2 linked regions of the Callithrix jacchus genome follow. The protein of the gene in region 2 binds, or shares a complex with, the protein of the main gene of each other region. Links are inferred from orthologs where the notes say so. Each region holds a gene or a part of one and is shown on either strand. Other genes may lie near its edges.

Region 1 (4,292 bases), on a different chromosome or scaffold from region 2:
TAGTAGCAGCAACTTCAGCTCAGACACTGCAGGCCTCTGTGCTTCCATGGGTTTCATCTACATGTCTGTGCCCTGTGGGCAAGCAGGTGCTCCTAACACTACCTGCCTCAGCCTGGGTCTCTGGTGGGTCCTCAGGAGGCCTTGGTCAGGTATCAGAGCTGGCCCCACTTCAGAACTGAGCCCAGGACAACAGTGACCAACTCAGGCCTTGGCCTAGTACCTCCTAGCTCCACTCAGTTTCAACTGGGCAGGACTCTCCACCCGTTAGCCTTCCACAGCTCTCTGCTGCCTCACACCCCATATGAAAATCTAAATGCCTCCGCCTGGCTCTCAGTGACCACAGAGCACAGTCAAAAACCTGCATGCACAACTAACTTCCCCTCCAACTAGCTGCACGATGTTGGACAAGACATTATCTACTCAGAGGCTGTTTCTTCTTCCACGAAATGGGGTTAAGTACTCAGCCCCGTCATGCCTACTCCTTAGGCTGTTACAAGGAGCCATGGAGACTGAATATATAACTTCCTCCTATTCTGCAAACTCCAGCATGCTATCCAAGCATTATCTACCATCGCCACCACACTGATCCAAGGCCTGCGCAGGAGATAAGACTTCAGAGGAAAAGAATAGTGCCAGACAACAACAGGTTTAAGTTCCTAAAAATGCCCATCAGGACTGAGGGAGAGGGGACAATTAAAAACACGGTGGGGCAGGTCTGGTCAGGGACGTTTCCTTCAGCTGGCAAAAGAGAAAAGCCACAGACAGGGTGAAAAAGAGGCCCACCCTGCTCACGATCCCCTCAGAGGCCCTGTCTGGCTGCAGGGAGTCTGTGAGGTGGGGCCGAGCAAAAAGCCTGGGGGCCACAGATTCAGAACTGAGCTCTGCCATGTCCTCAGTGGGTGACCTCAGTCAAGTCACCAGGCCTCTACGAGTCATGGTTTCCTATTCGGTAAAATGGAGCAAATGATTCCAACCTCTCAGGATTGCTGGGAGGAAGAGACGAATAGACGTTTTTTCGCCAGTACAGGGCCAGGCCAATAGTGGGTGTATAGTTCAATAAACATAGGGTAATTCTGCGGGCTCTTCTGCCGCAATTCACCAGCCTGGTAGAAGTCACAATCACACAGTTCCCCAGAGAAGGCAGGTAATTAATTAAACCCCTGACTGTTCCTCACACTCTCAGGGCCTCCAATGCTACACTTGTCCTGCTTGGAATGCCCTTCCCTCACTGGTCCTGCCTGTCAGCTAGCCAAATTATCTTCATCCTTCAAGGTCTACCTCTATTTAGTAGCCTTCCCTGATGGCTTTAGCCCATCTCATCGTTGCCCTCATCCAAGAGAAATAGAACACCTAGTGACTATCAAGCATGTATGCTGTACCAAGACACTGTGCTAAACTTAAGCAGCAACTCACTGAATTTTCACAACCATCTTATTAAGTACTATTAACTCTGCTTTGCAAGTAAAGACACCTTAAGATCACTAACACAACTAGTAAGTGGCAGAGTTCAGATTCAAACCTAGAGCCATCTCACACTCCAAAACCTAGAGCCTTAGGTCATCCTACTTCCCACAGAACTTTAAACTGGCCTTCCTATCATGCTTAATTCTTTTTTTTTTTTTTTTGAGATGGAGTTTCACTGTTGTTACCCAGACTGGAGTGCAATGGCACGATCTCGGCTCACTGCAACCTCCGCCTCCTGGGTTCAAGCAATTCTCCTGCCTCAGCCTCCCGAGTAGCTGGGACTACAGGCGTGCACACCACCATGCCCAGCCAATGTTTGTATTTTTAGTAGAGACGGGGTTTCATCTTGTTGACCAGGATGGTCTCAATCTCTTGACCTCGTGATCCACCTGCCTCGGCCTCCCAAAGTGCTGGGATTATAGGCGTGAGCCACCACGCCCGGCCATATCATGCTTAATTCTATCCTGGCTTACTTGCTACGATTTCTCAGGGTCCCATCCTGAATGTGAGTGATCCAAATCCACCTTCTTGCATTATGGCCTGAAAAAGGACAGGACACTAAGAACTGGCTTCAGACTCCACTCCTTACTTGTGGGTAACTTTGAACATGACAGTCCTCACCTGTAAAATGAGTACAATACGCCAACCTTTATGGGTGGTTGTTGGAATTCAGACTTTTATAAATCACAGCGTCTTTAACCTTCCTGTCTTAAACCTTTGTTTTGTTGCTGACTCTTTTACCAACTCCTTATTCGAGGCCTGTCTCACAGTTCGCCACCCACCCCCAGAAGCTTCTGTCCCCCAGACAGATGGGCTTGTTTCCCTTGGTTTCCTAAGTACTTTACGTAACACTCTTACTCCACTGGAAACACATCTTCTAATACTTTAAGTGTCTTTATCCAGCTGTCTTCCCCCAGCAGGCTAGCTCTTCCTCGAGCGCAGTGGCCCCATCCCGTTCCTCTCTGGGAAAGCTTCCAGGAAGGGGCAAGCCCAAAATTCTCAGTTGGGTTTGCCCCAGGCCAGAACCCGTGGGCGGCGGCTTGGCCTCCCTTCCGTGGGGCCAACGGGCTCACCTGGCCTTAGCGCACAGGGCCTTGACTTCGCTCTCCTTGATGAGCTCGCAGCGACGCAGCTGCTCGATCTGCCGGTCCAGGTCGCTGATCTCCGCCATGGCCCACCCCCCGGCGCGGGTCAGAGTCGGGGCCACCGCCCCCTCCGCACCGCACAGGGGTCTCCTGGGAAAGGCCAAGACAAGCCCGCGGATTAGAGTGTCCGTGAGGGGCGAGGAGCGGACAACTGGATTCTAGGGCCAGCCCGGCCCCACCCCCACCCCCGCCTCCCTTCACATCGGCCCCGGGACCCCCCCAGCGTCCCACGGCCTGGCCGGACCCCCACTAACTCCCGTCGAATCCCACGGTTCGCGCTAAGGACGGTGGCCTAGAGGGGTCTCGCATTATTACCGCCGCTGCGACTCCGGTTCCGGCTATGGGGCGCTTCCTGCCTCCCGACTTCCCTCCGCTTTGGGCCGCCGCCGCCGCCGCCTCTACTTCCGGCCCCGCCGCGGAAGCAAAGGGAAGCCAGTTCCGCCGCGCGCCGGATGTGGCGTCATACACGCTCCTCACCCTCCCTCCTCGCGCCCCCGGCACCACTTCCCAAGTCTGAAATCGGGAAGGAGCGGGAGTAATCCGGTGGCAGCTGGAGGCCAGCGGAAGTGTTTGTGGGCTCAGCCGCAGGTGATGTTGGGCTGTTAGAAACCCTAGACCAGTCCCCTCCCATTTCATTTTATAAAAATGTTTAAATTTAGACAACTTTCTTTTTTCTTTTTGAGACGGAGTTTGGCCCTTGTTGCCCAGGTTGGAGTACAATGGCGCGATCTAGGTTCACCGCAACTTCCGCCTCCCGGGTTCAAGCGATTCTCCTGCCTCAGCCTCCCGAGTAGCTGGGATTACAGGCATGTGTGCCACCACGCCTGGCTAGTTTTCTTTTTTTTTTTTAAGACGGGGTTTCACCATATTGGTCAGGCTGGTCCTGAACTCCCGACCTCAGGTGATCCTCCCGCCTTGGCCTCCAAAGTGCTTGGATTACAGGCGTGAGCCACTATGCCCGGCCTAGTTTTGTATTTTTAGTAGAGACAGGGTTTCTCCACATTGGTTAGGCTGGTCTCAACCTCTTGACCTCAGGTGATCCTTCCGCTTAGGCCTCCCAAAGTGCTGGGATTACTTTGGGTTCATGGGCGCGTGAACCACTGCGACCGGCCACAACTTTTATTTTTTTCTAAATTAGAGATAGTGTCTTGCTCTCTTGCTCAGGCTGGAGTCCAGTGGGGCGATCATAGCTAACTTCAATCTCGAACTCCTGGGCTCAAGCGATCCTCCCTCTTCGGCCCCCCAAAGTGCTTGGATTACAGGCCTCAGTCACCACGCCTGGTCATCCCCATTTCAGCTAGGGAAACAAGTCGAGCTGGGACTAGGCCTTGTAACTTTATGTTACACTTTTTTAAGTTACACATTTTTGTTATTTATCCGACACCACAATCCTTGGAGGATCCAACTTTGTCTTTTTCAATATTGAAGCCCCAGTGCTTAGAATAAGGCCTGGCATGGTAAGCATTTAGAAATACTTGTTAATACATAGAAATACTTAATACTTGTTCAATGGATGAAGGAAGCCCAATTCAAATCTCTTCCGGTGCCTTCAGAGAAATCTTTGCCATTGACAGCTTCAGAAGTTAACAAATTGGAGTCCACCTTTCCTATGCCAAGCCTGTATCTCAGTCAGCATGATTTCTGTGATTCCAAAATGTTCCCCTTAACATTTCTTAGTTGCTT
Region 2 (4,360 bases):
GAGGCTTAGGGAGGTTAAGTGAGTTGCCCCAGTCTGCCCAAAAAGACACTGCTAAGACGAACAGAGCAGCCTGGCTCCAGTCTATAACTATGATAGTGTACTGTACACCTAGATTCAGATTGCTAGTAAACCACTAGAGGGCATGGGTTGTGCCCATCCTTCTACAGCTCCATCACCAGTACCCGGCAGAGTCTTTAAACTCATGGTTGAATTTTTCACAGGTATGCCTTCCCCTCTACACTGTGCTTCTTGGGGGCCATGGAAGAAACTGACACTGCATTTCACCCTTCAGGAGTAAAAAGTGTTTGCTCCACACAGTCATAAATACTTCCTGAATGAATGAATCTTCTATTTACAAAGTCGAACATAAATATAAAAAGCCCTCCTCGAGATAACACAATCAAGGCCACTTCTCCAATCCTAACCCGGCAAGAGATCTGAAGTCAATAGCTGCCTTAAATAATATCTGAAACTTACTATTAGGCAGAGAAGTGGCCTAAGAGTAAACATTAAACAAAATGTTAAAGCTGCCCTTCACTACATGAGTATTGCTCCCTTTAAGAAAGCTGTTTAGAGCCACCCTACTAAAAATACAGACTTGGCAAAAGTTTGGATGCGGTTCATTTACTTTAAAGACAAATTACTCATTTCAGATAATCCATCTAAACAGCAAATCCCCCTTACTTTACTCAAAACAACCAGGAGTCTAAAAATTGAGATTACTCTGAGTAAGGGAACCACATTAGACAATGCTAAGGATTAACTACAGAGTATTTAAGAGAGTACTTTCAAACTGCAGCCATCTCTGAATTACTTACACAGGTATTACACAGTCACAGCATCCAGTAGGCGTTCCACTAAACAGACCACAATTCTACTGTGTAACCATAGTAGAATTGGTCCCTTATGTATCTCAAGATCTACGCTTACACATTTTGCCCACTCTTCATTTTTAAAACGCATCTCAAAACCGAGTGATTTTTTTGATGGATCACTATTTTGTAAGATTAGCATGAATAGAAACTATTTTAAATTAACTGCAATTTGTCACTTCTTTCAATACAAATTTACCTAATTCTTTGTCTTTCCTGTCGTGACTCAAGTTATTTTCTGAGGCTTAGAAAAGTACATATAAGAAGAAAAATTCCTTTCTAAGTATCAATTCCGTCGCCATCAGGAAACAACGTCAAAAACTTTGTGTTTTAAAAAATAAAAGGGTCAACTCTAAAAACTTCAGTACCTCAAAGGAAAGCTGCACTGTTAACACTGATGGAGGATTGGGTGATTTCTGAACATCTGCATTAAAGAAATGTGCTCTCCAAACCTAGTAATTCCTGATGAGGCCACACCTTCTAACCTTTCTGTAATCCACAAATCAAACCGGGAGTAATCTAAAAACTGCCACAAGCCAAAGTAAAATGACAGGTATGTCATCCTCAGAGGATCCAAAACGGGGTCGGGGAGCCCAGACGGCTAGCCGGGACCCAGGCTGCCCCCGGGAGCTCCTGGAGAGCGACTCCAAGGAAACACACCTCCCGCGCGAGTCTCTTCCTTCCTAAAGTGACGGGGCAAGGGGAACACCAGGGGCAGAAACACACCCCAAACCCCACTTCAAATCTTGCCCCACCTGCTTCTCCTTCCGAAACAGGCGGCCTAGCCACTGCGGAGCCCACGGGCGATTCGGGGTCGCCAGGAGAAGGAAGGGCGGAAAGCTAACTTGGGCGTTACTCGGGGCGTCTCCCTCCCCCAGCGGAACCAGGGCGCGCCGTTTCCTCACGGACGCGCGATTTTCCCCCCAAATCGCCACCCCGGCCCGCCCAGGGCCGCCCTCGCCCAGCGTCCCCTTAGTCTACCCAGGCCGCGCCGCCGCCCGCCCTCCCCGACCGCTCCCCGCGGGCTGCCGGGCCACCGCGAGGCCGGGCCACTCACATCCGTCCGCGTCCTCCTGCAGGTCCTCCTGGAGCAGCGAGAGGTCTGCGCCAAGGGGAGAGAAGAAAGGCCCGGTCAGCGCCCCGGGGCCCGGCGCGACGCCCCCGCCGCCCTCCCTCCCGCCCCGGCGGCGCCTCCCCGCGCCAGGACCCCGCGCCGGCCCCGGCCCGGCCGCCACTCAGGGCAGCAGCGGAGGACGGGTGGGCGCGGGGAGCCGCCGCCGCCGCACGGAGAACAGGGGGCCACGTACCCGCCATCTTGTGGTCGCCCCCTCCTCCGCGGCCGCCCGGGGATCCGGGGCTACATGGAGCGGCGCGAGCCGGGTAACCGGTGGACGCGCGCGGGAGGGGCGGCGGGGAGGAGGAGGGCCGGGCTGGCGGGGGCGCGCGCGCGCGGGGCGGGCCAAGGGCCCGGGCCTGCAGCGGGCGGTGCGGCTCGGGGACGCCGGGTCCCCAGGCCGCGCCTCGCCCCGCCGGCCCCTCCGCGTGGCTCCCGGGTGGCCGGTGCTCCCGCCTCCCGCTTTCCCAGCTCCCGGCCGGGCGGCGCGCCCTCACACCCTCGGCCCGAGCCGCCCTCACTCCGAGCGCTGCGGACAGGGGCGCACAAGCTGCAGCCGGCCGGGACCCTGCGGCGAGTGCCGGAACCCGGCCGGGTGGGGCCTCCCGCTGCCTGGCCGCTTTATTGGGTCACCGGCCTCGCCCACCGCCCCGCTGGCCGCAGCCTTCTCGGCGGGCGCGCCGCTGGCCGCCCGCGCCCCATCCCCAGGCCTGCACGTACGTCGTCGGCGATCCGGGGCCGGGGGCGGCTCCGAGGTCGGCGGGGCCGGGGTCCCACCTCCGTTTGGAGGAAGCGCCGCCTCCCCAACCGCCCGGAGCCCTCGCCAAGTGGCTGCTAACAAAGCCCAGGGTCCGGCTGCGGGGTGGTTGAGTGACAAAGTCATGCCTGCCCAGCAAGCTTCCTCGTGCAGCACGCTGAAGGCTGGGGCGCCGGGTTTTTACTCCCACGTCCTGCTAACCCGAGCTGACATGGAGGGTAATCCACCTGAATCAGATCCTGATTCAGCCAGTTAGTTAATGGGACTGGGACCCATGTGGAGAATGAAGCTGATATCTGCCTCGTGGGGTTATTGGCATTAAACGAAGAATGTAGGGAACCTAGCACGGTTCTTAAGGTCTAGGAGGTGCTTGGGGAAAGGCGCCTATGATTCGCTTTTGTCTTTTAAATACTTTTGGCAGCACTTGAGGTGTTCAAGTCTGTATCCCAGACTTTATTAGTCTTGTTGTTTTGCATGACTTAAGCGATTAGCTCAAGCGCCCAAGTACAAAGTGGGGCTAAACCCAGGTTTTCCGACACGATTCTACCTCCATGGCTCTGTCTCCAGCTCTACCCAAGGCCTCCAAAATGGTGGTCTCCTAAAGTGACCAACAAAACACCAAGCTGTGTCATGATGCCACTTTGGCCGTATGGTCTCTTAGAAGAGGGAATTCTAAATAGTTAATTAGCTTGTTCCTTTTTGCCTTGTAGTCTTGACCAAGGACAATGTATTGGCATTTAATGCCATTGAAGATTCGGACATTAAGAATCAGATCCTCTAAGATTCCTAAATCGGTATAATAATATGGGTTCTACACATAGCTAGTCCAAAAAAAAATCCCTATCAGATACTACTAACAAGAGAGAAAGACAGTTTATATAGTCTGTATGAAATTTCTAGGTGTAATAAAAATCAGACCCAATAACTCGAAGTGTGTATCTAATTTTCTCAACTATAAAATAATTAAAACTAAAAGCCATTTATCTTCCTCCTTTGCTGAATGTCCTGTGAATTTAGCTGACACTCTCAGAATGACAAAGGAGTTAGAAATTCACAACTATCAACAGAAATCCGTCTCTAGATTGACTCAACCCCTGAGAGTTCTGTCCTGCTGAGCTACCTCATCAGTATCTACCACTTTAGCAATTCTGGGTAAATGGGAGAAGAAAGAGTCAAATCAGCTCTTTTTTTTTCATTAAAAAAAATTTTTTTAGAGGCAGAATTTTGCCTTGTAGCCCAGGCTGGAATGCAGTGGCACAGTCATGACTCACTGTAACCTGGAAGCCCTGGGCTTGAAAGATCCTGCAATCTCAGCCTCCCAAGTAAATGGAACTAAAAGCGCAGACCATTCCACCTGGCTAATTTTTTAAATTTTTAAAAAAATTTTTGTAGGGACGTGATTCTACTATTTTGCCCAGGCAGGTCTTGAACTCCTGGTCTCGAGCAATCCTCCAGCCTTGGTCTCCCAAAGCGCCAGGATTACAGGTGTAAGCCACCAAATGTGGCCCAAATCAGCCCTTTATACTAACTGGTGATCTCACTGCAACAACACAAAATCTACAGAGTGCCAACTGTGCTTCAGCCAATGGATGCATGAAGACAAAGAAAACTCTTGAT

Evidence for each region.
Region 1: PPP4R1 (region 2) and PPP4C share a complex: the UniProt entries of both Homo sapiens proteins name them as parts of the PP4 complex. The link is inferred for Callithrix jacchus from reciprocal best matches to the Homo sapiens genes PPP4R1 and PPP4C.

What each region holds. Positions count from the first base shown.
Region 1 is NC_133513.1:29,442,956-29,447,247, forward strand, and holds the start of PPP4C (serine/threonine-protein phosphatase 4 catalytic subunit), read right to left. Parts: upstream 3,010-4,292; 5' UTR 2,925-3,009; intron 2,700-2,924; 5' UTR 2,636-2,699; coding exon 2,538-2,635; intron 1-2,537. UniProt on the Homo sapiens protein: Protein phosphatase that is involved in many processes such as microtubule organization at centrosomes, maturation of spliceosomal snRNPs, apoptosis, DNA repair, tumor necrosis factor (TNF)-alpha signaling, activation of c-Jun N-terminal kinase MAPK8, regulation of histone acetylation, DNA damage checkpoint signaling, NF-kappa-B activation and cell migration.
Region 2 is NC_133514.1:53,315,271-53,319,630, reverse strand, and holds the start of PPP4R1 (serine/threonine-protein phosphatase 4 regulatory subunit 1), read right to left. Parts: upstream 2,900-4,360; 5' UTR 2,870-2,899; coding exon 2,707-2,869; intron 2,266-2,706; exon of another isoform or gene 2,187-2,265; coding exon of another isoform or gene 2,180-2,186; intron 1,975-2,179; coding exon 1,930-1,974; intron 1-1,929. UniProt on the Homo sapiens protein: Regulatory subunit of serine/threonine-protein phosphatase 4. May play a role in regulation of cell division in renal glomeruli. The PPP4C-PPP4R1 PP4 complex may play a role in dephosphorylation and regulation of HDAC3.